Linked DNA regions of Bombyx mori. The protein of the gene in region 1 interacts with the protein of each later gene in a biochemical or structural test. Links are inferred from orthologs where the notes say so. Each region holds a gene or a part of one and is shown on either strand. Other genes may lie near its edges.

The links.
Region 2: the proteins of putative transcription factor capicua (region 1) and Erk form a complex in vitro, tested with the Drosophila melanogaster proteins (2 studies listed by BioGRID). The link is inferred for Bombyx mori from reciprocal best matches to the Drosophila melanogaster genes cic and rl.

Annotation. Positions count from the first base shown.
Region 1 is NC_085113.1:8,152,162-8,168,793, forward strand, and holds the start of putative transcription factor capicua, read left to right. Parts: upstream 1-6,106; 5' UTR 6,107-7,000; intron 7,001-16,632. Other genes in the region: palmitoyltransferase ZDHHC2, read right to left, coding at 242-363, 435-600; dynein molecular motor protein light chain 1, read left to right, coding at 2,687-2,722, 2,796-2,961, 4,296-4,444. UniProt on the Drosophila melanogaster protein: Transcriptional repressor required for the specification of numerous cell types during embryonic development. Required for terminal patterning of early embryos.
Region 2 is NC_085116.1:4,089,844-4,105,709, forward strand, and holds part of Erk (extracellular regulated MAP kinase), read left to right. Parts: intron 1-4,316; coding exon 4,317-4,443; intron 4,444-4,526; coding exon 4,527-4,637; intron 4,638-5,342; coding exon 5,343-5,477; intron 5,478-9,640; coding exon 9,641-9,757; intron 9,758-11,743; coding exon 11,744-11,911; intron 11,912-14,414; coding exon 14,415-14,603; intron 14,604-15,866. UniProt on the Drosophila melanogaster protein: Serine/threonine kinase which acts as an essential component of the MAP kinase signal transduction pathway to regulate proliferation, differentiation and effect cell fate decisions in various tissues.

The DNA.
Region 1 (16,632 bases):
ACATCAGTGTGGAAGAACTGAGGAAATTGTTTATGCATACCAAATACGTACTTAAGATCTTTCATTTAATGTGTAAGTATAGAAGCTTATTTCATATGATTGTGTTAAATAAACATTCAATCATGAGGACGACTTGCACTTGAGGCTAAATATTTTTTTTTACCATAATTTCAACTAAACAGAATGAAAATTTTGTATATGCGATAATGTTTGGAAATTTCCATTAATAAAGAATACTTACTTTTTCAGGGATTGGTTCTATCTCTGCAAAAATTGTTTTCCAGTAAGACCAGACGAACATTATTAGGAGTATGTGGTACAGCACCAAATAAATCCATTGTTGGACTGTGCTTTGTATTGTAACTGTAATATAATTAAGTCTAATGATTTACTATTAATTAAGTGTAAAGTTGGTAATAGTCTTAAACACTTACAAATACAGAGTTGAATAACGTAGGCATAGTATGACCAAGTTATTATAGACACTATGAATGACACTGGAAGCCATTTGAATCCTTTCCAACACCACATGTTGCACGTTCGACAACAGGCACAATAACCAGGTGATGAAATCCTACTATTCTGTACTGATGAAGCCATTTCGATTACATTAATAAATCAAATTGAAAATAATCCATGTTCACCTAAAAAAGAGACAATAAAAAGTGACGACACTGACGGTTGACTGAGTGACATTTCCATTTTGTAAAACGTCAATTTAATCTTTGCATAGAATATAAAAATATAAGTTAATTGGGATGCCATTGCAACGGCTGCCTTACCCTTCAAACCAAAAACCATTACTGCTTCACGGCAGAAATAGGCAGGGTGGTGGTATCTACCCGCGCGGACTCACAAGAGGTCCTACCACCTTACTAGTGGAGGACCTCTTGTGAGTCCATCCATATTAGTGTTATTAATGTGAGAGTATTTCTTTGTTATATTTTCACATCAAATAACTCTGAATTGTTTGGGGTCAGGAATTCGCACTACTTTTTCCTACGTGATGGTGACGATAGGCTGAGTGTTTTAGTGTTAGTTTAGCCTTTAAGATCTTCGCCAACAGAGTCCTACATATCCTGTGCACCCGCTGACGCAGGAAACTTGTAGGAGAATCATACCCCAGCTTGAAAAAAATATCTCTGTTACCGTCAAATTTTAAAGCACATTTCTTATCCACTACTTTTTCCTGCAAACTAATTCAATAATTTGCGATTCCATATTCAGATTTATAAGAGATGGCGGCACTGGTTCTTAATACCAAATCCAGGATAGATTTTATTGTAATGCAGCATGTAGGTAGTAGATCGTAATTTTATAGCATATATGACGCATGACGTATTAAAATGTAATATATACTTCTTACTTGTTCTTACCAGTTCTTACTTGAAACTATCAGTCATAAGTTGATGTCATTGTCAATCTGTTTTATTATCGTTTTTTAGTGTTTTTGTCAATGTATCTAATGTAACTAAAATAAATTTTACTGTTAATTTTAGCTTATTAAGACCTTATTCATTAAAGGTTTCTCCTATTAAAGCGATTTTTACTATTTAATAATTCTTAAAAAGGTAAGTATTATTATATTATATTTAATTTCTGTAAATTTATTTGCGTGTATTATTTTACGCCGTACGTGAATGTTTTTGAATATTTCAGGAAGTTTTAGATTTTGTTCTCAAAATAAAGTTATAAGAAAAAATGTAACGGGTTTTTGTACACATCAAAAATAGCGTATAACTATTTTAGCGATATGGTTTTAAGGTTTTTTACTTCAAAACTCATTATGAAAGAATCACGATGAAATACACTGATACATAATAGTCGAATAATTGGCATTGATGATGGATATTGGCTATAAACCGAGCACCACTAGATCTTGACCAGTCCTGGTGAAACTGGAAAGGCCTCCGGGCCACCAGTAATCCTTCAATCATAAAAAAAAAAATCTTGACCATAGTGCCAAGTACCTATCTATTAACTTATGTGTATTATTATATGGACTTTTTGGCGGGAAAGCGAGGTGTCAAGTTGTGCGATTTGTTTTATTTTGTCTATTTAGTGTTTCTTCAGGCTTAAATGTGTAATAATGGTGGTTTATTAACTGTTTAGTATTTGTGAAAGTGCACAAATGTGGGAAAATGAAACAAAGCCGTTGGACGTAACTTCTCGGGATCCTCCAAAAAGTCCACTGAAAAAATCTCAGTAAACGACCACCATTTTAATGAGATTATATTTCATCCCATATCATCTCATCTCATTTCATTTAATTGCATCCCAGTTGATTAATGTCTCAAATTCTTCATTTTATTTCACTCCATATTAACATGTTTCATTAAAGTATCCCATATAATATAATCTCATTTCATTTATATTTTTATTTATTTCATGCCATGCCATGTTTCATATTAAATTAATCAGCTTCATTTCATTTCATAATATCATATTTCATAAAAAATATATATATAAAAGATTAGGCAGTATGGTGTAATACTTTTGTCTTTCCATTTGGAAAAATAAAACTACTACTACGACTATCTATGGTATTAACAAAAAAAATATTTATGGTATTATCTATGCCGATGGCCAAATTGTTTAGTTTGTCGAACTTCTTTGGTTTCGAAATTCAAACAGAAATTTCATTTTGATAACGTTCAATACTTACTACCTATCTTGAAACAAAATAATGGAAGTCAAAGAATGCAACGATTTGGACGAAGAAGTAATAATAGTCATTTGTGTGTATTAGTTGGTAAATATTGATTCAACAAACTTACCAACATGGTGTATTTCAGAACCAATTCATTGTCGACGACGTGAGTAAAATAATTAAAGAAGCTATAGAAAATTCAATTGGAGGCACTGCTTATCAACACAACAATGTCAACCAATGGACTTCAGCAGTTGTTGAGTCATGTCTGGGGCAGTTGACTAAGTTACAAAAACCATACAAATATGTAGGTACGTGCGTTGAGAATCTAGATTATTTTAAGTAACACAGCATGCATAAAATAAAAAATCATTTATTTTAGGGTCCCTTGTATAAGCTCTCTTAGCAAAAATAAAAAACAATGTTTAAAATTGTATTTTTTTATTGCAAATGAACCTTGAATTATGGAGTTTGCAAGACTCATTTGCATGACTTTTGGAGCTATCACACTGGAATTAATGCTTGCTTTTATTGTGATAGCTAATCTGACCATCAGGAAGAGAGAGACTTATTACATCATTAATAAAGTAATAGCTTAAGGAGAGTGGAGCAGTATACTTGCATCTTTTATGCTATAATTGAACAAACTGTTATTTAGAATTTTCCAGTATTTTGTACAGCATTTAATAATTCAAATTGAAATACATAATTACAAAATTGTAATATTAATGCCTTAAAGGAGCACTATTTGTCGATTTAGTATTAGTTATACATATTTCATTATATATGTATGTGTATAATGAAATATGTATATGTTATTTATGTGTGTAATTGTGTATGTATATAGTCTGATATATTATATATTAGTTTTTTTATATTATTGTTGTTATTGTGTATTGTATCAATAAGTAAATTGATTAGATTGTACTCTTCTACCCACTTATGTAAAGCTCTCCCTCTTTAAGAACGGTTAGCTGGTAGATAAATCAATTGTTTAGTTAGGCTCGCCATTTTATAACTTTTCGCAATTATTGTATAGTATTAATTGTATGTACAATAAACACTAAAAGTATTTACACTATTTGGAGTAATTTGGAAGACTGGCTTCTAAAATGTTGAGCATCTATAAGGAGCTAATTGAACTTCAAATCTCCACAAAAGCTTATAAAGCACAATTCTTTTTTTTTTATTGCCCTTGTAGGCAGATGATCATACGACCCACCTAATGGCGAGTGGTTACCGTAGCCCGTCGATTTTAGCAATGCTAGGGGCAGAGCCAAGTCGCTGCTTATCATTAAGTATTCTCCACAAGATTCGTTTGAAGAGGAGCTCATTCAAAGCTGGATAGTACGTGGCCATAAAGAGCTGGAAACGCACTGTGGATGATGCTGCGATTCCAGGTAGAATGGATGGCTGTGCCCCTGGCATTGCTGATGTCTATCAGTGATATTGTTCACTATCATGTGGGCCGTGTGATTGTTTGCCCACAAAGGCATTAAAAATTTAGAGAATTACCAATACACAAATATATTGGTAATTTGAATAAATGAATTTTCTATTTTATAAGATAAAAGTTAAACCTCTAATGAAGAAAAGCTAAAATGTGTAAATTTACTTTTATCCAATATTTGCTTGTTTTTTACAGTGACCTGCACAATACTGCAGAAGAATGGTGCAGGACTGCATACAAGTTCTTCTTGTTATTGGGATAACACTACTGATGGCTCATGCACGGTCCGTTGGGAGAATAAAACTATGTACTGCATTGTCTCAGTCTTTGGGCTTGGCATATAACATGGATTTATTATATTCATTTACTGGCTTAAAATCTCTTTTATAATACTAATAAAGCAAATTTTTAGTATACTGATAACATAATTATCAAATCTGTATGTTTTATTATGAACTCTTATGTTTCAATTAATAAATAAAGCTTTTATTTTACACTAAATGGAAAAGTATGCTATGTCATTTTCCAGTATATATGCATAGAGAAATAAAGTGTTAATAAACAGATAAGTTTGTTCATTTATGGACAAAAACTTTGGGAGAACAAAGAACTTTGTACCTAAACAACAAAACCTAAGAAAGTAAAAACTGGTTTCATTGAATCTTCGATTTGATGTATATAATTTGTATGCGTTTTCTTGGATGTAGTCTTGTTTTGCATTCCACTGAATATAAATACTGAAAATTCTATTCAAAAGTACAAATTGTGTAAGAGGGAAATTGGAGCATGGTGGTCTCTTACGAAATATATTTTGAGGCTGTTAATTTTACTAGAAAAATCTCAGATTATCTAATAAAAGGCTTCTGTTAGGGCACAACATTGTCACATACATTTATCAGGAAAAGAGATTTCACTTCGAGATGTTTAGGTGCCGAACATGAGGAGTATTGGTTATATTGAGGTGTGTTTGATTACAGGAGCTTTCTGAGAAGGCCCATTGAGCGATTATAAAGAAACCAGTATCATGCGTGATTCCATAAAGAAAACGTTGATCTGAATTTTTTTATATTGCTGAATGAATATAAAACACTATCAGCTTCTTTTTTTTTACTTTTATTGCATAAATGAGTGAACGAGTTGACGACCCACAGTTGCTCACTTTGTAATAAAATTGAGGTCTTAAAATTTTTGTTGACACGAGTAGGTACCTACCTACTTTAGAACAGTGCCGTTACATTTAACATATTATTATGGAACGTTTACCTAACATTGGTAACCCATCAGAAACCCACGGTAGATACGTTCCTACAAACTCCGATGTTATGCAAAACTCGTGTTATTTAAGATAAGATGACTACAAAAAGGAGAGGATTTTTCTAAATAAAACATTCTATACCTGTATATATATTTTAATCTATTATACATAAAAAATAAGCTTACTGTAATTTTCTAAATAATTTTAAATAGAAGTCTCATTATATAATATTGGGTATTGGGGATTTTTTTTTCCGTAAAATACCTACCTTGCGATATCTGGGTTACCTGTACCTCCTGTCTTCTTACAAATTAAATGAAAGGTACCTATATAGCGTTTCGTAGCAAAAAAAACCGGCTGATTGAAATATATACTCATCAGTGCTTTCTTGCACTATTTTATACCAATGAACAAGGCCTGATCTCATGGAAGAAAACTAAACTTTTTTATGCCCTAAATATTTTACAAGTACTGTTCACCGTTCCTAAATACTGAATTGAAATAAAAACGTGGTCCCTATTCAAGATCCTCCATCGTTCTGTTCGAAAAGTGGCAAGACAATGTTCAATGAACTGACAAAATACAATTGTATAAAATTTTACAATAATTATCAGAAAAACAGTTAATAATACTGCATTGTATGCAGAGCATAGTAACTTACTATTTGTGTAGATTGAGCATTGTAAACCAAACAAAACGTAGGAAAGGTATCATGAAAAAATCATGAAGAAATAAAATTACCGATCGAAGGTGATCATCAAATGATGACTTCGTTTATTTAACGATGAGCAGCAAAACCGGCTTTCCAGAATCTCAATACAAAGTAATTTAAATGACGGGTTCCACAATATTCACAACTACATAGTGTAGTCTAGATCTAGTGAATCATATCTAGTGTAATTAACATTACGTAATAGATTTTTTGTGGGTATGTTCCCGGAGATAAAATTTTACTTAAATCATGAATTTTTTCAAACGTTCCCGCTAAAGCTCCTTGGCATATTTGTATCACGTGACCATCATCGATCCAATGGTTGAACGCTTCTCGGGTCCATTCAACTCAACTTTGCGAGCTCCGTGGAGTGGCGTGGAGAGGGCAACTTCACAATTCCGATTCTATTCATAAAAGGAAATGTTTTTATATTGCTGTCTCTCTTACTCATGTAAAAAATTGTAGTGTTTGAGTGAAGTAGCAATATGTTTGATTGGAAATTATTGAAAGCTGGGCCAGGCAGGCCACTTCAGACCAGTCGCCATGTAAATTTTTTTGATGTGGGTGTTGTGTCTCGGCACGTCAAATGCTTCAATGAATTTTATTATTCTCAAAAGAACATTGATTTCGTGTAAATCGTTATATTATTTGTAAATTCGTGCTCATTCTTAGTCCATATTGTGAACAGTGAAACATATTGTGTTGTGATTGTGTACCATCTAATCTGGTGACGGCGGGTAATAGATTGGAGGGGGAGCTGCTAAAATACTACGATAGGATAGTAGAGACGTTTTACTACTCGGGAAGTCGGGAGCGCTAAGCGCTTACAAAATTTCTCATCTCGACGCGAGCGATTACGGTCTTCCATTTTGTTTTAATATGCAGTTTGGTTGTTTACGGTGTGCATCGTGTACAGAGCAATTGCAAGCCACGGTGAGTACTCGGTGAAGTGTTCGCATTGTAAATACGTTGTCTGCGCATGTAGGCCTTACATGACAATAAACATGCAACAATGAATAAGTAATAGTTTGGTAATAGTATTCGATTTTGTGCACCGCACGGCGCAGTCGTGGTAGATGGGTTGCGGCACGTCATTATTTAGGAGAAGCACCCCCGCGGGTATGCTCAGTGGTACGTAAACATCGTTCATCAAACACAAGGTGAATTAATTTTGTATCATTTTAAATTGTAGTTGATAATCATGCGGTGATACTGTGAAGTGTAAATTTAATAAACACGTTACAAGTCTCATTTTAGTAATCTATCAGTATTATTATCAGCTGATTACTCTAAGCGGCCGTCCGCAAACGTCAATGTTATGTATTCAATCACAGGCTACTTGAATACTAGAGTACATCTAGAATAAAATTCTCTTGTGTGGATATTGATCTTGCCTAGGTGAGTACACGACTTTTGTAACTTGTGTATTTACCTAATCATTGCATATACAGGTGTCAATAATTTTAATTACAATATTTCTAAATTGGTTTTATAATTAATTTTATTAGCTCAAAAAACAGTAGTAGTTTAATCTAAAATAAATAAATTCTAAAAATAAAACTAACCTTAAGAATTCTAAAGCTTAAAAGTACTTTAATCTAAAGCATTTTCTTAAAGCATCTTAGAAGAGTATTATTGTTTTTTGGTATTGTGTAATTTCTATGAAAATAATGAAATAAAACTAAAACCTTCATCACTCAATAATAAGTTAGTCTAATGTTCTAAATGATATTAAATAAAAAATTTGATTGATTTTGAAATTTACATAATATGCACATTGAGATTACAAGATTTGTCTTCAATAACAGTTGTCTTTAGTGATAAACAAAAAAAAATCCAGTAATTCAACTCAGACCTTAGTCGAATGTACTGAAAACTTCCTTTTCATCTATTTGCTGTGACTTAAATATTGTCTTAAACTAGCTAGCACAATTTACCTTCAATTTCAATGGTGTCAATGGAGGTAGGACCTCATGTGAGTCCACACAGACGGGTACCATCACCCCGCCCAGTTCTGCCGTGAAGCAGTAATGCATTTTGGTTTGAAGGGCTGGGCAGCCATTGTCACTATATTGAAACCATAGAACTTATATCTCAAGCTAGGTGGCGCATTTATGTTGTAAATGTCTAGGGGCTCCAGTATCCACTTAACACCAGGTGGGCTGTGAGCTCGTCCACACATCTAAGCAATAAAAAAAAAACTTATAATCAGAAATTTGATAATGTAGAAAACGAGAGTCATCCTCTTTTGTTATATGAAATCTGGAAAAACTGCTCAGAAAAGAATGAGTATATCAATTTTCTCTAAAAACAAATACAGACTAATGGAGAATATTCAAATTTGAAATCATAGTTTTTTTATTAATAATATTGACGCTTGAAAGGCAAACGTGACTAAGCGACAATGCATGAACTTTACAGTAGACTAATTTAAAGTTGAAATACCTGATAACAAATTTTATTTTCACGAATCTAGCTGTAGTAGAATCTAGCTAGTAGGATTGAAATGATTTTAATAGACCTAGAAATATATATTTTTTGCGCATCGAATATGGTTATTGCCTATCATTTATGTACAAAGCAGTTATTGTCGCTAAGTCACGTTTGCCTTTCAAGCGTCGATATGATTTAAGTAAAATTTTAATAGAAAAATGTATAGAAAGTGTTGGAGTATACCTGTTCACATTACACATAATAATACACATTAGATATACTTAGTATTTCAAAATTTCTCAAGATATTTATTTATAATTGACATACTTAATTTTGAAAACGATGGTTGTTTTAGCAAAAATATTTATAAACATGGTAACCAGTGCTTATCAGTCCATAGACATCATAACTTGAATGCCAATGCTAATAGATTATTTTGTATTATCAGAAAATGCATCATATTTTCCTTTAAAATAATATTAGAACAATCTTATTGCTTACCTAGTGAATTTTAGGATAAACTAGAGTCCCAATAAATTTTTATTAACCTGAAACATTTTAGTAAATACAAGGCATTTGATTATTGTTTAAGATCCTTCTAGGCTTTTACTTTTGTAATTCTCTACCTAACTACTCAGGAGATCTCATGGACTACCTGGTATCAAGGTATTCAAAGGTCTTAAGTGGATCTTAATCTTCATAGCTAAGCTATTAATTATGTAAAACACATTTGCACCATTTGACAGCTAATAACTTGCTTGTCTTAAAAAAGTCATATGCTTTTATATAAAAACAAGTAAATAAAAAATTACATTGATTAAGTATAATTACACATTTCTGCCAAATCTCTCTTCTCTTCTTCGTCGCTTCCTCATTACTGAGGGTCGTGACCACCTTGATCTAGTTTTTGCACCAGCTGCCTCCAATGTTGCCAAATACTTTAATTTTAATATTATATTTTTTCCATTCAATTTCGTAATATAGAAAAAATATATTTCATGCCTTATGTGTCATAATATTTATAAAAAAATGGCAAATACCACCAATAGTTTTTTTTTTAAATGCATTCAAATTCTGTAAAGTTTATGATTGTGAAGAAACGCAACGAGGGTCTTCCAATGATGCACTTTAGTTTGAATCAGAATTAATCATTACAAAAGTGAAAGCTACCTGAGATTCCACAAATAATATTCTTCCCGTGGTGTGATGGACCAGTCTGTGCCTGTTCACAATATCACATAATATTTATTTATTTAGACACACCAACAGCAATACACACAAAACATTCAAGCTTAAAATTAACATGTATAAAATTAAGTACTGGTATGTAAGCCAGTTACAGGCATGTACAGCAATCTCTTATAACACACTATGTATGACATGTTACAGCAATTTTACAAACAGCGGAAAAATAGGCTAAATTTAAATGTTAACAGTATGACAAAAAAAGGAATATTTGAAAATAACATGAAAACAAGAGTTAACTACTTAACATTCTCTCATCAACTATAAACAAAGGAACTTGGATACTAGTTTGTTTTTGAGACCAGGACACGTGTCGTTAAAAATGTCAATGCCGTCAATTAAAATTCTACAAATGATGTGAAAGACACATCATTTGTAGAACGAATTTATGTTCCAAAGAAAAGTGAGCTTGTATTGAGAAAATACCGACGCCATTTAGGCGGGCTTCGGACAGCCTGCCGACAGAGAGCTGGTGGTCGTGGCGCTGACGATCGCTGGCCAGGCGTGCCGAGGGCGAGGGTGATGGGAGAGATGTGCTCCGCACTTAACGCTTCACGCTAAACGTCTCATGCGAGGCTCGGACGTGGGTTGTTGAGCGACAGGTTTTAGTCGGTTCGACTCCGACCTACCCCGCCCGCCATCCCCAGTGGAGGCTGGAAGTCCGGCAATTTCCTCCTGACCAAAAAAAATACATATTTCTCGCCCTTTTAGATTTTAGCAAACAACACGGATTTTCATGGATTGTTTGGAAGCTCTGGATCTATGGAGGGACTTTGGTTCTCTCTGTTTTCTATTGTATGTTCCGTGGCGAGTGCTAAGGAATTGTTTGAGATGATTGCACCATCTAATTTACACTGCCGCATCGCTCGCCACCGGAATAGATTTCATACATACTACTCATCATTTGTAGAACCGATCGGTACCTTGGTGCCGTGAAGTTCATGCTTCGGTCCTAATAACCGCAAGGTTGGTGGGACCATGGGAGGTGGTGGAAATGTCCCTACTCATCAATTGAGTGCCTTTTAAGAAATCTTTTCTGCCACGAACCTTTCGGTCTTGTATGAATTCCCCACCAAAGTGCTTCAAACTAGGCTTGCGGAGAGAGTACTCAGTAGTACAGAGTAGGTAGGTCTCTACCCTTGGCAATGCTGACGTCAATAAGTGACGGTAATCACTCACCATCAGGTGGGGCGTATGCTCGTCTGCCCACAAGGGATTTTTTTTTACAATAAATAGAATTTTATTAAAATTGAATAGTATATTGCAATAGGTGAATTAAAACATTCCTTAACCTCCAGTGTATAAGAGCGATGCAAATTTTTATTTTAACTATAACAAAATTTCAGTTTGAAATGTAGCGTAATGGGATAAACGTTATACAACGTGAGCGTCGAATTATCTGTCCAATAGTTCTAGTACTTCCGGTCGGTTAAAAATAACAAAAGAGGATATATTCGGTTTAGTGATTCGAACTAAATCTGATCTATTTCTGAATATAAAGTACTGAATAATCCGTCGGTCGATGATTAATACATACACAGTTGTAATTGATTTACGGAATTATATTAATGCAGTTGAAGTATTTTTTTTCCAGTTACAATAATAATTATCGTTAGATATATATATTTTTTGCAGTTATAATTATCGTTAGATATTTTTTTTTTGCAGTTATAATTATCGTGAAATATTTTTTGTATGTTTTTATTTTCATTACATCTCATTGTCACATTGAAACTGTTAGATTAAAACAAATTTGTTAATGCGATGTGCTTGCAATTTAGAATACCAATTTATATTAGTATCATAGTGCACACATTAAAATAAGATTAAATTTAGGATACACTAATACAGAGACAAACAGACGAAAATACTGTTGTTTTATTTTTAACGTATATACTACAGAGCATGTTCATGTCCATAATATATGTAATTAGATAGGTATCTTCTTTTATAAAAATAAAAATCGATGTCTGTTTGACTCGATATAAAAACGTAAATTAAGTAAATGAAAATCTGAGGTATAAAAAGTTTTAACTCACCATCAGCTTTTGTTTATTTCTGGATTTTATGTTTTTTCCTTTAGGCGCTCTGAAATAGTCATAGTGCCACAACAAACTATAGTTCGCTGGTTCGTAGTTTAAAAAAAATTATCGACGTTTTACATCTACTGGTGGTAGGACCTCTTGTGAGTCCGCACGGGTAGGTACCACCGCTCCGCCTATTTCTGCCGTGAAGCAGTAATACGTTTCGGTTTGAAGGGTGGAGCAGCCGTTGTAACTATACTGAGACTTTAGAACTTATATCTCAAGGTGGGCGGCGGCATTTACGTCGTAGATGTCTATGGGCTCCAGTAACCACTTAACACCAGGTGGGCTGTGAGCTCGTCCACTCAACTAAACAATAAAAAAAACCGGCACAGATATTAATAAAATAAATTAGGTCTTATTATAATTGACATAAAATAGATGCTCGTATTTTAATAAAACGTGTGTCACCACGACAATCGTAAAGTATTTGAAGTTTCGGAAGTTTCGGTAATAATATGTAGTTAATAAGGAACACGAGATTAAACCGTAAAAGTAGTTTTAGTTCGTGACTTCGACTCTGGAAACCTAAGAAAATAGTAAAGATTACAATAAAAAATGAACTTTGCTTGGGCATGTAAAGACGATAATGATAGATAGATATGTTATTAAGCATTTTTTTATTATGATCCGCGCATGGTTCCGCATATTTATTTTAAGAAATAGAAGTTCGGGGACAAAAATGACATTGTGTGAACTCCATTACTTAATTGGGATTAGATATCGTCAAACAAGATTTATGAATATCAATATTAAATTGAATCATCGTGACACGTCATGAATGCTTTCATTGCTATTTGATGTTTAAAATGGCCAATAGTAGAGCCGCTTTTTATCTTACGATAGATACAATCGAGCACGAAGTATGTGGCGAGACGTGCCCAGAATACATTAGCACGTAGCACCATCAAAAAGCTGGTGTTTTATGACACGGTTCGTCATTTCTGACCTACGACCACAGTCCACAGTATGATAAAACATTTCTTGTACATATTTTGGTGTTTGAAATTCGTAACATTTTTTTAACGGATGATTTAATTTTTCTTACAATTCTAGTATTATAAGCTTAATAGTTAATGTTAAATTTGTTTGGTATTTTAAAATTAATAAAATGTCTCATCATTGTGTTTGGATACGCCGCTTTTAAACGTTATAATCAGTGAGCACTGATCAGATACGTCTTATAGTGTAATTACTTTCGACTTTTGTTTCTTGTTCAAGTTTATTTTTATTGGCATAGTAGTCGTGTCAACGCCATACATGGTGTTAAGCGGAGACCTTAGAAGTACGTGAACGCCGGCCTCCTCTAGATATGAATTCGATGTTTGTACTGAATTGGAATAACGATTATTCTAATCCTCAAATCGAAACATTTGTGACTTTTGTGATGGAAATAGGACGGTAGTACGGATACGTGCAGCGTAACGAAATGCCGCAAAAATGTAAATATTGTGGGCTTGAATTTGTTACGCGATTTATTCCTTGTTCGGTGAAGTCCTCAAGGAATACATATTTTGTTTTATTAAGAGATTCTGATACACACAAGATAAAACCTTTTTTTGTATTGTTTTATTTTCCGAATAATTAATTTTCATTTAGCCAATACTGATAATAACTGTTTTAATACATATTTGTTGAAAATTATTGTTTTCAAACCAATCTTCCCAGTTAGTTTGCACGTCAGGACGGCTTTGTGGTGTAAAAAAACATTTATGATAAAACCTATAATGTTTGAATATTGTTTGAAATATTTTTCAATGCTAGCTGTATTTAATAAAAAAACTGTAAGCGATGATATTGAAGTCTGAAGTAGACGACGGGCTCTAAGTACTTATCCTTTCAACACTTTTTGTTCCTTTGTACCCAGACTGCGAGAGCGAGACAGTCACGAGAGAATCCGTTCCCGCCAACATTAAAATCCCCTCTTAGAACAAAGAACAAGCCTCTTATCACCGAACATTGTGTTCACGGCTTTATTTCAAACTTTGTGCCGATGTTATTTTGAGCTATTAATTAATACTGTTTGAATATTGATCAAGCATACTATTTGTTGGTTATTTATAATTTAAGATTTTATTTTATTAACGGCCGTCTGGTGTTTAACGGCCGTCTGGTGTAGTGGTAAGTGACATGGTCACTACATAAGGGGGTCGCGGGTTCGAATCCCGGCAAGGGAAGATATTTGTATGATAAATATAAATGTCTTTTCCAGGGTTATGGATGTATATTAAAAATATGTATGTGTATAATAAAAATCTTACATTTATTTCCGTTATCTGGTACCCGTAACACAAGTTCTTTACGAACTTATCACGGGACCAGTTAACGTGGCGTGATTGTTAGTAAATATTTATTTTATTTATTTATTAATGGGCCGTTTCATTTGTATTTGTCGAGATCGTAAGGTCCAATCTGTTTTTGAAGGTCCTTGTTTATTTAGTCTACCTATGGAGTGTAGTTTACTGGTTGCCATTGTTAATAGACAGACACTACAAGGCGAACGCCGACGCCCGTTTGAGGCATGAGATTGAAGTCCCATGGGTATGACGGTGAACTTTCAATTCGGATCGTTTAGTGTGCTTAGTGCGCCCCTAGCGGCAAACCTAGGCAAACGTTCCAACTCCATACAAATTTGAGTTAACTTTTACGCTATCGAGAACGTTAAAAAAACTCGCACTCAGCACACTGATCGCACTATTGTTCGCGACAGAAATATGTGTAGTATAATAATATGTACTAGTGGTCCCGCAGTAGTCGAAATTTGACTATAATTAATTGGAATTGTAAGTTTGTACACTATTATGATTATATTTTATACTTCTATAATCACAAATTTCACCAAGGCTACACTATAAAAAAATATTAATTAACGACAAACAATATTTAATCTATTCTCAATTTGACCACAGACGTCAAGAACAAAACTTTGACAATAAATAGTATGCATGCGTGTGTGCGTCAAATACATGGTATGTAGTGTGTGTAATGTTTTCTTTATTGATTTAATGTATTTTTTATGCATTATTTAAAAAAAAAATTAGCATTGTGCACTTCTTCTTTATATTCTCTATAAGTGTAGAAAATTTCATACTAAGGTAAAAGCACTAATGCTAGACACTTTAAGGACAAATCAAACTTCATTCTCAGGTATCAAATGTATTTATCAAAAATTATATTAAATCTTTTTTTTTACTGTTAGAGCAACATTTAGAGATCAATTTTTTCATATAAAATATTTCAATACTGTTGTAGTTTCTACAAAAAATTACAAACTTGTTAGTTTTGCCATAGACACTAAAAGATGACAGCATCGAAAATCAAATCCACCAAAAATTGACATCAGTTGGCACTAATAATAGACACGACTTTAACGTTAGTTTTATTATAAACAATTATAATCAATCTTAAGATCATCAACTATTTTCTTAACGCTATCTTGTAAATTATCTTTTCCTATTGGAAACCCTTGTTTGACCATAGCTTTTACCCATGTTACGAGTATTTTTTCTATATATTCGGTTAAATAACAACTTCTTCCCATTTTACGCATAATAGGTGTCTTTCCCTCGACTTTATTTAATAAAGTTACTCGTGGAACTCCAAATTTCTTTGCCGCAGTAGCTGTCGGAACGCCCCGCCTCATACCCTGGACCAGGAAGGTCAAGTACTTGGGAGTCACCCTGGATGCATCCATGACATTCCGCCCACATATAAAATCAGTCCGCGACCGTGCCGCTTTTATTCTCGGCAGACTCTACCCCATGATCTGTAAGCGGAGTAAAATGTCCCTTCGGAACAAGGTGACACTTTACAAAGCTTACATAAGGCCGGTCATGACTTACGCGAGTGTGGTGTTTGCTCACGCGGCCCGCACGCACATAGACACCCTCCAATCCCTACAATCTCGTTTTTGCAGGTTAACAGTCGGAGCCCCGTGGTTCGTGAGGAACGTCGACTTACACGACGACTTGGACCTCGAACCGATCAGAAAATACATGAAGTCCGCGTCGGAACGTTACTTCGATAAGGCAATGCGTCATGATAATCGCTTTATCGTTGCCGCCGCTGATTACTCCCCGAATCCTGACAACGCAGGAGCCAGTCACCGTCGTTGCCCTAGACACCTCCTTACGGATCCATCGGATCCAATAACCCTTGCATTAGACGCCTTCCGCTTTAACACTAGGAGTAGAGATCACGGTAATCGTACTCGTCGAACTCGGCAAAGAGTTCGACGTGCAACCTAACCTAAGCATCAGCCCGTTGAGTTTCTCGCCGGATCTTCTCAGCGGGTCGCCATCCCGATCCGGTAGTAGATTCATTCGCGAAGCACCTACTCTTGAGTTGTTAGGTCTCCCTTGGAGGCGCTCGGGTAGCTGTTAGCAAATCCCGCCCCTTCTGTCCATGTGAAACTGGAAAGGCTTCAGAGCCACCAGTAAACCCTCAAACATATACATTCTTTTATGGCTTCTTCAATATTGGCTTCAGAGTATTGAAACATCTGACCCTTTACTGGCGGCATCGTGCTCGAAACTGAAGCTGAAATTAATTGATACTAATAGTTGACATCTAGTATACCCTAATAGTTGACACTGTCTTCGTTTAGTTAGACTAGTGTAAAATGAACGAAACTCAGATTGAAACTTTTGTTTTACAACATAAAGGCTGAATTTGAAGAAAATTAAGCTAACAAATTCAGTTCGATGTAACCCTAGTAGAAGACACACGTGTCATCTTTTAGGTTTTGATTCATTTTTGGTACTAATAGTAAACACCACTTAAAATTTGTACAAAAACAAACCA
Region 2 (15,866 bases), on another chromosome or scaffold:
TCCGATTTAAATCTAATATGACTGGAAAATAAAGTCACACTCGTGTTACTGGCATCTTTTTTAATTTTTTTATGACATTTGATCTCTAAAGTATTGAAACTCAAACTTTGACAATTTGTCAATTTTTTTAATTCATATATTTAAATTATGAACTCATCTTTGGTTTTCACACCCAAGCGCTAAATCGATTTTGATTAAATCGTGTGGGAATGGATAACTTTTTTCTATTTTTTATTGCTTAGGTGTGGGCGGACGTGCTCACGGCCCACCTGGAGTTATGTGGTTACTAGAGCCCATTAACATCTACAGCGTAAATGCCGCCACCCACCTTAAGATATGAGTTCTAAGGTCCCAGTATAGTTCACGATTGACTTCCACGGTGAAGGAATAACATCTTGTAGCAGAAATCAAACCCGCAAAATTATTATTTGCATAACAACTGGTGATATAACGTCTTGTGAGACCGCACGGGTATATATCACCAACCTGGCTATTTCTGCCGTCAAGCAGTGAAGGGTGGGACAGCAGTTGTAACTAACTAACATGAACCCTAAGGATTCTGTTACCCCCTAAGGTGTCAAAGGTTAGGAAAATATACTAATAATACTTAATAGTAATTGTGGATAATTACTGTAAATTTTATATATTCAGCTAACTAACCTAACTAACCTGGGCTTCCAGTTTCCAAATCAGGATTTTTATTGATCAGTTTTCAAATTTATCTCATTTCGGATAAAATGTACGCGGGGCACGCGGTCCTACATTTTATTTGACTATACAGGAAACCTGAACTTATGCGACCCGACTAAACCAGTAACGTAACAGAGAACGGACAACCTAAATCGATGTACCGTAGACTTTAGAAGCACACTAACAGAAGACATTGTTACGCGCTGGGGGTTCGGGATAAATAAAAATTCTACCGAATTACAAATTGAAACTGTGTTCTACACTTAGAACAACACAGAACACTTTAAAATTCTCAATTAGCTTCTTCAGGCGATCCGTTCGCCGTTTCGCTTCGTGTAGTTCCTATTACGAACTGACTGCGTGCCATCTCTGCCACGCTTTTAAAGTCGAGACAAAATTCCCAGAATCGTCGGGAATATTCCACAAAAGTCAAGTATTGTATGTTTCCGCTATCTGACAATAGATGGCGTTGTACTCCTCGAGCGTTCTAGGTGTTACTGGATCCTTAGATATTCGTTTGGCGACTCAGCGATAGATGGCGTTACTCTTACCGGCGTAACAATATTATGAAATTTCATCTCTAAATCTTTTTTTGATGAGCTGGTGAGGTAGCCGATATTGAAAAAGTAATACTGTTATATATTGTATCTCGTTAGATTAAGGGGATTGAGAGGTGAAACAATAAAATACATAGTTTTTCGTAATCAAATACAACTAACATTACATTAACTTCCATTTTTGCGTACGATATCACGGAACCCACCTCTGTTCGTTTATAAAAACACGCGTTCATCTTTTTTATATTATGCTAATAAGATTATTATTCTTAGAAAAGCCTCTTAGTGTAAAATGATTGCGGGAGTTTTCTCGCGCGTGTTCGTAAAACAATCTGTTTATGATCACAAGAATATTAAGCGAAATTGAAAGTACAGCTTTTGGTTTTCCTTATTTCTTAAATCTGCAATATGGAATTGCAGATTTTCTTATCTAAGTTTTACATGGAGTTTTCAAATAGCAAAAAAGAGAATCCCTACAATTTCGTCTAGCATGCCTACCCATGTGTCTGGGACATTTAACTTAATATTATAAAATCATGTTGAGCCACCGACGGGGCTTGATATCATCCGAGTGCGGAGGCCAAAAGTCTGGTCTCGTTGTGGATTTGATACAAATACAAATTTGATATTTTTTTATTGGCCTTTTAGGCAGACGAGCACACGGCCCACCTGATGGTGAGTGGTTACCGTCGTCCATGGACTTCAGCAATGCCAGGGGCAGAGCCAAGCCGCTGCCTACCGATGATTTGATTTGATTTATATTTATATCAGATGGACGGCTGTAACAACTTCCACTTGAGGTGGCTGGATCGGTCCTTGCGAAGTAGGTGAAACGTAGCCGTAATGTTTATACCTTCCGGCTGATGTAAACGATAACGAGTCTCTACTTCGAATGTTAGCTGCATCGCGACAACCAAAGGGATCCAATGGACACAATGGAGCAGAGGCTCTCCACTTGTCCGGTATGGGAGGAGCAGTGTCGTGTCCTTGTCGGTCAAATAGAATCTGACTTTTTGTCAATCATTAGTGTAGTGATGAGTCGTAATAGGACGATACGAGACGGTAGACTCGCAGGAGATGATGAATCGTGACAGAGGCCTCTCCCTCACTATACCCGTTCTGGAGGCAGAAAAAGGGGCTACAACAAACTCTAGTTCCTGTGAGAGGCGGACTCCTTAGGAAATCCGGTTTGGGGCAACCGGCAACCACAAAGCCGCGCCACATAGATTAAAATTAAGCAGTGATCGGCGTAGATAAAAAGAATTTATTGATTTATTAGAGAATCTCAAAATGAATCATTTATAAAATGTTATCAGGTACAGCTTAAAAACATCAATAGTTTATTTTTTTGTTAAAAAAATTTGTAATATTCTCAATCCAATGTTGGTCTTCTAATATATTTACCAACGAAATTATAAGTAAAATGTTCACTACTTTGATTGAGATGTAATACATAACTTGTTCTAATATAATAAGTTATTCCATTAAGTTGATTGATCCAATGTCTTTACGATAATACAAGAAAATCTTGAATTATTTACTTATTTTTTTTTTTTTTTTATTTGCACTGCTTTTGGTTGACTGGTAGAGAATGCTATAGGCATTAAGTCCGCCAATGTATATTTTACATGAAGTGTAATAAATACATAAATAAATCTTATTACAGCTCTCTGTATTAGACAAATCATTGAATTGTTTTACTTGTACCGATTGGTAGACGATATCGACGACCACCTGTTGTTAAGTGGTTATCAGATTTAGACCGCAACACGAATGGCGCTACTCACCTTGAGATTGAAAACTGAAGTCGGAATTGTTAAGTAATAACCGCTATTCAGCCCTCAAAGCTGAATCGCATGATTGCTTCGCGAGAGAAACACACTAGACGGAGGATTTCACCTTAGCGGACCCACAGTCCATTAGAGATTAAACAAAATTCTACCTCTCTGATTTGAATTAAATAATATTATTCCTTAATAGTGAATGCGGTTCGTAAATATGTGTTAACGATATATCTTGGTATTTATATAGAAATATCGGTAATAGCCACATTTTTTTAACTTTGATACAATATGAGTTATTGAAATGAATACCCCAAACCTCCCTTTTTTTTGCTTAGATGGGTGGACAATCTGGTGTTAAGTGGTTACCGAAGCCCTTAGACATCTATAACGTAAATGCCGCCACCCGCCTTGAAATATGAGTTCTAAGGTCTCAGTATAGTCACAACGGCTGCCTTACCCTTCAAACCAAAACGCATTACTGCTTCACGTCAGAAATAGGTAGGGCAGTGGTACCTACCCATGCGGAGTCACAAGAGGTGAACCTTGTGACTCCAGGTACCAGTAAACTTTTTACGACTAAGTGAAAAACTAGCATGGAGGCATTTAAAGTCCATTCGTATTCATTCTATTTTGCTGTAGTAAATTTCGGTATCCCGACAAAGGACAGTAGAACAGTAGGTACTAAAAAACTGTTCCGGACATGAGGTACTTCTAACAGTGCAAAATTTGAAAAAATATACGTAAAAAGTCCAGTATATAGGTTATATAATAAAAAAACAAGATTTCCAACTTCAGCAGCACCAACCTAATAGTATTTGTGCGGTGTGGACGCAGGAAGCACCATACGAGACGAAATCCACCTGAACTCCCAATATAAACCATACGCTTAGTATGATTAGTATTCGTATAGTAGTCAGAATGTAGAAAAAAGAGGTAAAAACTCCAAAAAACAATTGCATGCAGCTCAAATTCAGGTCTCCAAAAGGTATTCTCAAAAAAGTAATCTTTTGGGGAGTTTAACGAAGGAGGGAAGATCTTCCACCGAGCGGGTGATATTGCTCGGTAGACCGACGGTCCAAATGTTGTTGTTCGGAACTTGTATATATGCGCTTTATCTTGAAAATGTCGTAAGCGAGATTCAGGCATCTGTCAATTATCTTGCGTTATATGATGGCTACCCGCCACAATCTCAATACTTAAGTAAAATAATAATAGTATAAGCTTTATTTATATGTTAAAATAGATGTTACTAGAGTCGGTTTATGATTTACATTTTTGTTCCCAGTTCTGCCTTCGACAACGTGAAGAAATCGAAAGTCGCAATTAAGAAAATATCTCCATTCGAACATCAAACGTATTGCCAGAGAACATTACGGGAAATCAAAATTCTAACTCGGTTTAAACACGAAAACGTAAGGAAATATCCGTGTCATTGCTGAATCATTCATTATGGTTCTTTACATTATGCGATTTAAATGGGAATGTTCGTTTACAGATTATCGATATACGAGATATTTTAAGAGCTGAAACTATTGATCAAATGAAAGACGTTTACATCGTTCAATGCTTGATGGAGACCGATCTTTACAAGCTGTTGAAGACCCAGGTACGTTAAAACTATATATCCGAAAGAAATTGCGCAACTAACATACACTAGGGACATTATCAAAGGCCAAAAATTGAGGGCTTTCAATTTTAAGTTAATACGTACTGAAAACTTAAATAACGCATACATTTTAATGGCTAAAAGTGATTGGTGTAAAACTAGATTACACAACTGTACAAAAAAATTCGTTCTTTGTCCTAACGTTTGTTCTAGGTTTATCCGGTTAATTATTCACAAAAACTAAAATAAAATACCTTTTTTTTTGCTATAAAGTTTGCTTTTGTGATAGTTATAGTAATAATAATAATTTTTAATTTTATTTTATAAATTTTAATTAATTTTAATACTTTCAAAAAAACCGCGCTATGAGAGTGGGGTGTTTACGTTTATACAATCGGAAACAACGATCAGGTGTTTTGTACAAGCCCAAAAAAACTTAAAATGTCACGAAAGTGTAAATACGATGCTGATGCGTTTTGTTTCATATTATGTGGTACAATTTATTAAAGTTCAAAAGCAAACTTTTTCATGCCATGTTTTTTTTTTTTTTCGTCTAGTTACGATCTAAAATACCGAAATTTTATGCTTTGCAATCAAAGTCAAATTTGGTGTTGACCCGTGTTATATATTCATATCTGGCTTTATAAAATGATATTTGACTTTAAATAATCGAATGTATTTTTTCATTTGTCTTCTTTGTTACAGAAATTAAGTAACGATCACATCTGCTACTTCCTGTATCAGATCCTTCGAGGACTGAAATATATTCACTCTGCAAACGTCCTCCATAGGGACTTGAAGCCTTCTAATTTACTACTTAATACCACGTGCGATTTGAAGGTAAGAAATTATTCGATTTTGTATGTCACTCGAAACTGTCTCCTTAGTTAATAATAAATTATTGAAATAGCTTTCCTATTATTAGAGAGGAAAAACGAATGTTGTATTTTGTATTCAATGTTGAATGCAATATACATAGTATAAATTCTTCTTCTTCGCAATCGTGTCACTCTTAACAGAGTGGTCGTGATCGTCATGTAGTGTTGGAGTGGGCAGACTTGATGCGTCTCACGATGTCCCGCCATCTCTTCCTCCTCGAGGCCATTCTACTGCACTCATTTAGGGGACCTCTTATTACAGTTTTAATTTGGTCGGTCCACCACATGGGTAACCTCCCGCGCGGTCTTGTGTATATATAAATATTATAGATTATATATATATATATATACATGAAAGTCGTCAAACATCAAAGTCGTAAGTACCTTGAATTCAACCACAAATCTGAATCGTTAAATTTATAAAACGATCGTATGATGGAAAACGTCGTACGAATCTCAAAGTACCCTACAAAAGGGTATATAAATTTGAAATCTTTCGGAAATGGCGCGTCGTGATGACGAAGCCTTGTAATGTCACACGGGATGTATATACGTTGAAGTGACGATCGACGATTTTGCTATAAAACAATCACGATAAGATAAATCTAAATGCTAATTGTGATATTTTTTTAGATTGTTATTTTGAAGCTAAATATACGGAAACGGCGTAATTTGAACTAAATGTTGCCGAACACGAGGTAGCGAGGCGTGACAAAGTACCACGCTAAGTTTTTACGATGTCATTCCGTGTTGTCGATCGATAGCGCTCTAAAGGACTATTTATACGTCTCCAGTGGCTATTTTAATGTTCATAAACGAAGAAATATCACTAAACTAGTACTTTATTGTGAGACGTTTATTGATACCTATGAAAGAAGAACATTGTATTTCATGGTTTTATTTATTGTACGAGAGAGAGAGAGAAAGGGAGCTTAATGCTACTTACATTTGAGTCTATATAGATGATCGGATTATCGAAAATCCTGTATAATGTTATTATACTGTATATAATCCTAATTTCACTTCATGCGAGCTTTGCAACCTCTCGGTCCACTGAGAGGCTTTGGTTCTCTTTGTATTTCGTGCCGTAATATCCACAACGAATACTTTGAGGAATTATTTGAAATGTATGTTTTGCATTCGCACCAATTGCCATTGGGAGTAGAGGTTATCTCTACTGTCCGTGGGCTTTCGGAGATATTTTAGGCTTTGGAGTGAAATTCAGTTGTTTAAAAAAAATATATAAAAATATTATGTAATAGTGGTTTTTGATAAACGAAAAATGAAAACATTATGTAATGTTCATAATAAATAAAATATGCAAGCAAAGTCATATTTTAATGTAAAGATACATCAATAGCAAAAACTCCGTTCGTATACTGAAACGGGAGAACTGAAGCGTTTAAAGAATTCGTTCGGCTTGGCAATAAAATATGTTCAGACTCTAATAAATTTGGATCGCCTATTCATAGATATCATCCAAAGTCATATTGTATAATATTATGGAAGATATCGAAGAGATAGGTATTACATACTTCCTGTCATTGACAAGCTTGAGCCAGGTATTGTGTGCAGATTATAAAAAAAGGAACTAGAAACAAATCTCGCACGGTCAAGTTGCTTTCAGCCTACGCCATAATATAATAGCATATATTAAATAGCTCATAGCACAACAATATCGCACACCATACATTGTTAAGGACATGTTATGTACTATATATTATTGGCTTAGTATACGGCTTACTATAGTATACTATACTACTTACTATTATTATATATTATACTTACTATACTATACTTACTATACGCTATACTATATGGCACTAGATCTAATTATTTAATCGTTTCATAATAATATATAACTTAATACAGGCGATAAACAGTCAAACAGTATTAAAACTGTTCAGAAATAAAGAAGATATACGGGGTGTAATACCAAGCTGTGCAGACAAAACATTAAATTAAATAATAACGTCATTTTCCAAATCCGCCTAAAGAATTCTATAGCCAATACACGTTTTTTCGGAAATGGACAGTGAATCCGCATTCAATCACACGTCAACCGAAAACGTCCTGAATATCGCAATCGTGAATTTGCTGATTTCAATTATTCATCCAAAACAGTTCTTTACATACGACAAACAGACGTAAGCACCAAATGACGTCAATCATGGGCTTAAATTGCAATACGTATTGTCTTTGCTTTGCTTCGATCTATATAAAAACTGCTTCTGTCATTATCATATGGTTGTAAGCTTAACATATGCGGTGGTACCAACTATGTTATAGAGTTACATTCCAAGGTCTTTGTAAAAATTACCCTTTTTTTTTTCTTAGTGTCACACAACTCTAATTTGTATTAAAACATTTTTAAAGGCAGGTTTTTTGATATTGGAAGCAGCAATAAATCTATTTTTTGCTAAAAACTATCAATCTATAAAATGGAAATTTCACATAGAGTGCTTTTAATTTGAGAACACACATATACAAGTGTGTATGTATTTTATTTTATGGAATCAAGCTAGGCCGACTCTATCTAGTAGTTGGTACAAGGGACAAAAAACTATTATATAAAAATAATTTTGGCTTACATTATATATATATTTATTTCCTTATATTTGTAATTCAAAATGTGATTCGATATGGCAGGTTCAGACGCTTAATTCATTTTTCACTGAATATAAAATCGTAGTCTAACTTTGGAGTGCTCACAGTGTACATTAATAAAAGACAGGATTGATAAATCATTCGCATCGATGGTACGTCAGAAAGTTCCGCTATCCTGGATTTTGACTGTCTTGCCAATGTTTTAGCATGTCAGTCGAATTTCAGAAGTAAGGTATCATTATAAACAACAGGCTTATTAAACAATGGTTCCATTTGCCTTCTATTACTATAATAGCTAATAAGCTCAGCACTAAAAAGGTTAAAGTCAGGTCCAGCCAAAAACGATTACGTGACTCCAACGACCAATTCAATTGCGTTTAAATAATCCAAATTTTTATTTTTTATTTTTTATTGCTTAAATGGTTGGACGAGCTCACAGCCCACCGGGTGTTAAGTGGTTACTGGAGCCCATAGACATCTACAACGTAAATGCGCCACTCACCTTGAGATATAAGTTCTAAGGTCTCAGTACAGTTACAACGGCTGCCCCGCCCTTCAAACCGAAATGCATTACTGCTTCACGGCAGAAATGGGGAGGGTGGTGGTACCCACCCACGTGGACTCACAAGAGGTCCTGCCACCAGTAATCCAAATATGCACTAATAGCTACTTAATGTGCACTTAGTATCGATCGTACTAACCTATGTCTAAATACATCGGACGAGTTATTATATTACGAGTAACCTCAATCAAAACAGTAAAAAAAAATATAGCAGTACAGTTCTACTGAGAGTACTATAGACGTTTTACGGTAGATGATTCTAGAAATAAAAAATTCATAGCTTCTTCAGTGTCTTACCAACCGTTAATCCTGAGCAATGTATTACGGCAACGTCGAAACTCCTCGAGATCTCGGCTTTTCGAGTGAAGGGGCTCGTTACAAGTGCTTTTCACGTTTTGGTTCGAGCGGATATACAATTTCTTTGCATATTTTGTTTTTTTAAAACTCGGGTATACTTTAGTGGAAGCTCAGTTATTTTTTCGTTGCTGTTACAATAATAAGTTGTTCTGTTTTTCTTTTGCGAAAACAATAAACAAAAGAATTAAATTCTGATCTAAGTACTCCTATTTTGAATATTCTTAACTTATCTTTTTTTTGTAACTTTTTTTTTATTGCTTAGATGGGTGGACGATCTCACAGCCCACCTGGTGTTAAGTGGTTACTGGACCATAGACATCTACAACGTAAATGCGCCACACACCTTGAGATATAAGTTCTAAGGTCTCAGTACAGTTACAACGGCTGCCCCGCCCTTCAATCCGAAACGCATTACTGCTTCACGGCTGAAATAGGCAGGGTGGTGGTACCCTCCCGCGCGGACTCACAAGAGTCACAAGAGGTCCTACCACACGTAAAAGTACTTCTGATCTACTCCTGTTTTAAATATTTTTAACTTATCGTTTTTCTTTTTGTAACTTAGGATTGCTTTGTTAATTTTTTATTATTGTATTGAACAGATTTGCGACTTCGGTCTGGCGCGAGTTGCGGATCCTGATCACGACCACACCGGTTTCCTCACGGAATACGTAGCCACGCGCTGGTACCGTGCTCCTGAAATCATGCTCAACTCAAAGGTATATAGTCTATAATATTATTATATCGAGAGGTGAAAGGCTATTTGGTTTAAGGGACATTTTTGCAACTTTAAAAGATAGGCATTTAAAATTAAAAATTTGGGAAAAAAATATAACAAAAAACTTCTTCAGCTATTTGATTTAAGGTAAACTTAATTAAAGTTCATTTAAAAACATCGAATTGTTGATGTAATTCCAAATAAAATGAATCTTTAATTACAAAGATAAATGATGTCGCATATTAAGCCAAATGTCGTTCAAACCAAATAGTTTTTTACCACACAATATAGTTCGGCTTGTTGTATCATGATGAAAACTGATAAATAATAATTTTCGAATGAAATGCTGAACGTACTTCGTTTTCTTCTAGTCAAAAATCGCGTTACAAGCTTATAAGAAAGACAAAACGTATGAAAATATCCGTGAATTCGTTTGAAATCCACTTGAACAAATAATTGAGATTACTAGAATGATTTTGAACAGCAAACATTGATAATACACTCACTAAATATGTTATTCGATAACACCGTAATACGTTACTATGTATGTGATATTTATTAAACGCGACGCGTAATGCGCCTGTATCGATGACGAATTGTATTTTTGAATGTTTGTTAAATGAATCATTGTTTTACTTATTAAGGCTAAGCGTAGACAACAATAGATGCTATGGCCCAAATTATTTAAATTTTCTCGCTTATCTATACTATTATCTTGTTACGACGATTTTTAGTTGGAATTCCCTATGTTCAGTGCTGTCGCGAGCGCGGTGGTCAAAGGTAGGCAAAAGATTGCGGGGTACGCGATTATCCGTGTTAAAACAAAAAAAAAACATGCTAATAATATTATAAATAGTATCGATAATCTATTGAAATAATGTTATCTAAACAAATACAAAACGAACACCAAGAACGAAGAATGTCCGATGGTTTCGTCTAAGTAATCTAGACTTTTTATGATTATTCTTAAGTTGGCCGACGCAGTTTTAGCAACGAACATACCACTCCATATACATAAAAAGTAAAAGCAAATAAAGCTCGCATCATAAAACTCAATGCCTCAAGAGACAAAACTGAGAGAATTTACGTTCCGCATAAAAGTCAACCTAAGCTGGAGTAATTTCTGTCCTGGCCCCCAAACTTGGCAAGAATTACACGTATCGTACGCAGAGGTATCTTTACATCGAGGCCCCGAACCTATTTGTTTACAGAAGAATTCGCATTCACATTTCACCTCCGCAATATACTTCACAGTTAAATGTTGAACGTGCCTGTGCGATAAAACACTTGAGGAAAGTAATACGATTTAAATGAAATTCTAAAGGACTTCTTAACTCACCAAATAAGTAGACTTCATTTGCTCTAATTGATTATTAACTTTATATGTTTCTAAAAATATAATAAACACATTCTTAACATGTGAAATATATCCTGAAACTTCCCTTACATATTGGCTTTACGTATTTCATTAGAACATTTTTGGATTCAATACATTCCTGCTATTCTCCTCGTTTAGGATATTTTGGCGTTATTCGCTGCCTCAATGTCAGTGAAGGCCTATAATATATGGAGACAAGAATCTTATCCGTCTGGCGTAATCGAGATCAAGTTTTGAGATGAAACGACAAAACAAAGCCCTAGTCTCTACATAAATTATATAATTTATTATGTTATTATCTGCGGCTTTATTTTGCCTTCTGAATAAACTATGGATGTTTTCAATTCTCCCTCAGAATTTATTACGTATTTAAATTTAATTAAAACAAAATGTCTTTTTCTCTCTCGCGCGATATACCGGGTAGACCTTAATAAAATTTCGTTTTTAAATCTATAGGAGACCGTACAAGCTCACGTATTCATAAATCCACAATTATTAGGTTGGTATTGTAGTCATAAATCTAGTCCCGAACGTTGACACATTTTAGGTACATCTGCTTGGGCGAGTAATGAAATTTTCTGATATAAAACGATTTTTGTTTTAACACAGGGCTATACCAAATCAATAGATATTTGGTCAGTGGGATGTATTTTGGCGGAGATGCTGTCCAACAGACCTATATTCCCGGGCAAGCACTATTTGGATCAATTGAATCACATTTTGGGAGTGCTCGGTTCGCCGAGTCAGGAGGATCTTGATTGCATCATTAACGAAAAGGTAAGCCAGTTGTAATATACCGATGAATTGTGAATGTTTAATATCCGAAGGGCCGAGATTAGTGGAAATTTTGAATTTCCTTTTAAAGTACTTTTGAAACTAATAAAAACTGTTGCATCATATTCAACTCAGTGTTTTACATAATGTTTAACAATTAATTATGTCTAATATTAAAATTTGTTAATATGAATTTTATCTGACTTGAATTTTTTGAATGATATAGTTTAGTATTTAGTATAATTCGACGTCGTCCAACGGTCATTACGAATCCTCTCGATCCATTAACAGTGCTTTTAGGTAAAACAAGCACCGGTCACCGTCCTCGTCGAACCCGTCGCTTGCGACGAAGGGCTCGACGAGCGAATTAACCCATAGACGCAGCCCACTGAATTTCTCGCCGGATCTTCTCAGTGGGTCGCGTTTCCGATCCGGTGGTAGATTCTGCGAAGCATTGCTCTTGCTAGGGTCAGTGTTAGCATCACTCGGGCTTGAGCCCCGTGAGCTCACCTACTAGTTAAGGTTACGCTGAAATAGCCTCCCAAGGCTATCATCAGCTTAGGTAAGAAAAAGAAAAATAGTATTATTTTAATTTAGAGACTATATTATTTATGAAGAATTTGCTCATTGTAATTACAAAGGTTGAACCATCTGTTTTTTTATTCCTTTGTCATTCTAAAAACTACACAGCCCGAGGCTACTACCATTACAGACATCCACTTTATTACATACAAAGGAAAATCCATTTTGATATCTGAGATCGCATCATATCATCTGTTCAACTATCCTGAAAATGATAGTCTACTGTTAATTATATATAGACTTATCGACAGTTACTATTAAAAAACTCGTTCGACGTATAGACAATTGAATCTACACCTCTCATTATACTCTGTAGGCTTTATTGCATCCTTTTGTCTGTATGTTTAGTGATTTCGTTTCTTATAAAGAGTGAATTCATTTCATACCACGTGGTAACTAATATAATAAGAGTGTGGGTGGGATAGTGTGAGTTTAAAAGTCTTTAATTCTTTTTTTCGGTATTTATTGAAAGAAATTTCGAATTTTCTGGTTATTCTGTTTAATTATTTTATTCAGGATAAAATATATTATAAATGGATTCTTTCGTGAAGTGGCGACTTGAATCGCACGTAATGATGTAAACTCTTCGTTTTTGTGCTCTTTTTCTAAGAGCCTAAGGGTTTTCTTGAGTTGACTTGGTTGAATAAGATACGTATTTAGACCGCGAATCAAATGAGTCCTTTAAAGGAGGGTCATTAAGAGTCTATGTCCCATTAAACTCTCAATACTGTTGAGCTGCATCTTAGTTTACCTTAATATGTGAGTGACACTTTGTCTGCCTATTCGATATTGTTTCGAGGTTTAGTTAATGCTTTGTACACGGTACTACTACGGGAAGTTTTGAAATCTAGTTGTTTTGCTATAATATGTAATCTTTTTATCTATCGGCTTATTCAGAACGTTGTAGGTAACATATTTATGCAATCGCAATGGGCTTTTGATACTGTTATATTAATTTTTTGATGTTGACTAGCAACATACATATTTTTTAATTAAACGTAATCATACGTTAACAACAAAATAAAATTGTTGCTAAAAGTAATGTGACGATGATGTTGAAAGAAATTTTCTGTAAATAGTCTTCGATTCAACATATTTGTTACAATACTTACAAATTAAGTGCTTTACAAAATTACTAAGGTTCTAACAATAACAGCTTTATAATATTATATTCAATTTTATTACTCTCGGGATTGCTCGATGTAAAATCAGCACAACAAAGACGTAAACGGAATGTTTTTAATTTTCCTTTTAAATCGACTTCGTCTATTATACGCAGCGTCGCGAGTGGAAAAGTTTTCATACCGCTTTTGTATAATTTTGGGCCTGAAATTTGCCGCATTAATTAACCTCATCAAAAATTCAATTATAATTGAATATGGCAATTCCGAAAAGGGCACATGTCGCATATTTTGTCAAATACGTTTTTTCATATACATGTAGTTTTGAGGCTTACTTACACCCATTTTATAATAATTCCAGTAATTTTCAATTACTAATTAACACTAAGATATATCTCAAAAGTTAATATTTTAAATTTTACACTGCTTTGAAAATAATCAGATATTTTTTTTCATTTCCTGAACATTTTACATTTTCAGAGATGTGCCCTTTTCGAAATTGCATATTCAATTATAAAAGACTAGCGACCCGCCCTCGCTAAGCTTCGGAAACTATAATTTATTATTGATTTCTCCACTATTTAATGGATGTTATTATACATATAAACCTTCCTCTTCAATCACTATCTATTAAAAAAAACTGCATCAAAATCCGTTGCGTAGTTTTAAAGATTTAAGCATACATAGAGACAGACAGATATAGGGACAGAGAAAGCGACTTTGTTTTATACTATGTATTGATTTACGAATGTTTGCGTTTGCTCCTAATGTTTAGCCCAAAATGTTGTTTGCTGTTCAATCAGGCTCGTGGTTACTTGGAGTCGTTGCCGTTCAAGCCTCGCGTGCCGTGGGTGGACCTCTTCCCCGGAGCGGACCCTCGCGCCTTGGACCTGCTCCATCGCATGCTGACTTTCAACCCTCACAAACGCATCACGGTCGAGGAAGCCCTAGCCCATCCGTACCTCGAGCAGTACTACGACCCGAATGATGAGGTATGTAATAAACGTTGTTTTCATAGACGCTTGTTTTGAATTGGATTCTACTATTATTGCTTATGGATTTGACATTGACCAATTCAAAACATCGAAGAAGTGCGTTTGGCCTTATGACCGAAAGTAATAAGATTTGACAACAATAAGACAAGACATGTCTTCGGCCTTACGATCAAGAACAATGAAGACGTGGCTTCGGCCTTTAAAACTACCAAAATTTTCCAATTATTACCAAAAACAAGACCTGGCTGTATGGACTAAAGTCCTTGGCCTTTCCCATTAGGGATAAATTAATATCATCATCATTGTTTTGAATTGTACGTTGCATTTTGAGTTGCACATGCATGCAGTGACTATGGTGTGTATGGTCGCAGACGCGGTGATTTTATCCCTTAGTACCAAAATATTTGCGAAGCAATCATGCTGAATTCATGCATGAATTGGAACACGATTATCCCATACTAGTAAATACTTATGCAATTAATTACAATCTTAAGTGAAATTCGTTTATTTATTGTATTATTATAATTCGATGAAAAGTAAATTTAACAATTTTATGTTCTATAAATAAAAACGAAAGCAAACAGGTGGCATACGATTGTAATTAAATGAAAAAAAAAAGAAAATATTTGAGAAAAAAAAAAAAAAAAAATGCCCGCTGTGTTTGTTTCGCCGGTTCTTCTCAAGACTGTGGCTTTTTTTGGAACCGGTGGTAGAGTTAACATTTTCATTTATATTTTACCATTCAACTAGTGTGTTTTTGATGACATCCAAGTTGAAATAAATGGTTTTGAATTTGAATTTGTATTTCAAAAGTTATATGAAAATCGATGTAAGTTAACAAAAAAAAAAGGTTTCACTAATAATAGGAACGAATGTCTTCTAGTAGCACGCAAATTTACGTAATACGTTTTAAACACTTTTTAATTAAATGCAAGCTTTTGCGTTCGGTGAAAAATTATGCACGGTCCTTGAAAGGGGGCTTCAGAATGAAGCTACGGCGGTGTAATTAAGGCTTTAAGGCAAAGCATTACTGCGGGGCTTAGTGCTCGGGCACCTGAATACGTTCACTTAAAACGAGACTTATGATTAGACTAGAGTCACTAGACTCATGTTTATGTAAAACCGGCCAAGACATACAACCGAAATTTTATACGTAATAAGTCGTACATGTACTGTATTTGAGCGGGTTCTTCACTAAGAATGCTTAGGAGCAGACAATTCGGTCTACCCTTTTGTAGAGATATACGATACAGGGAATAT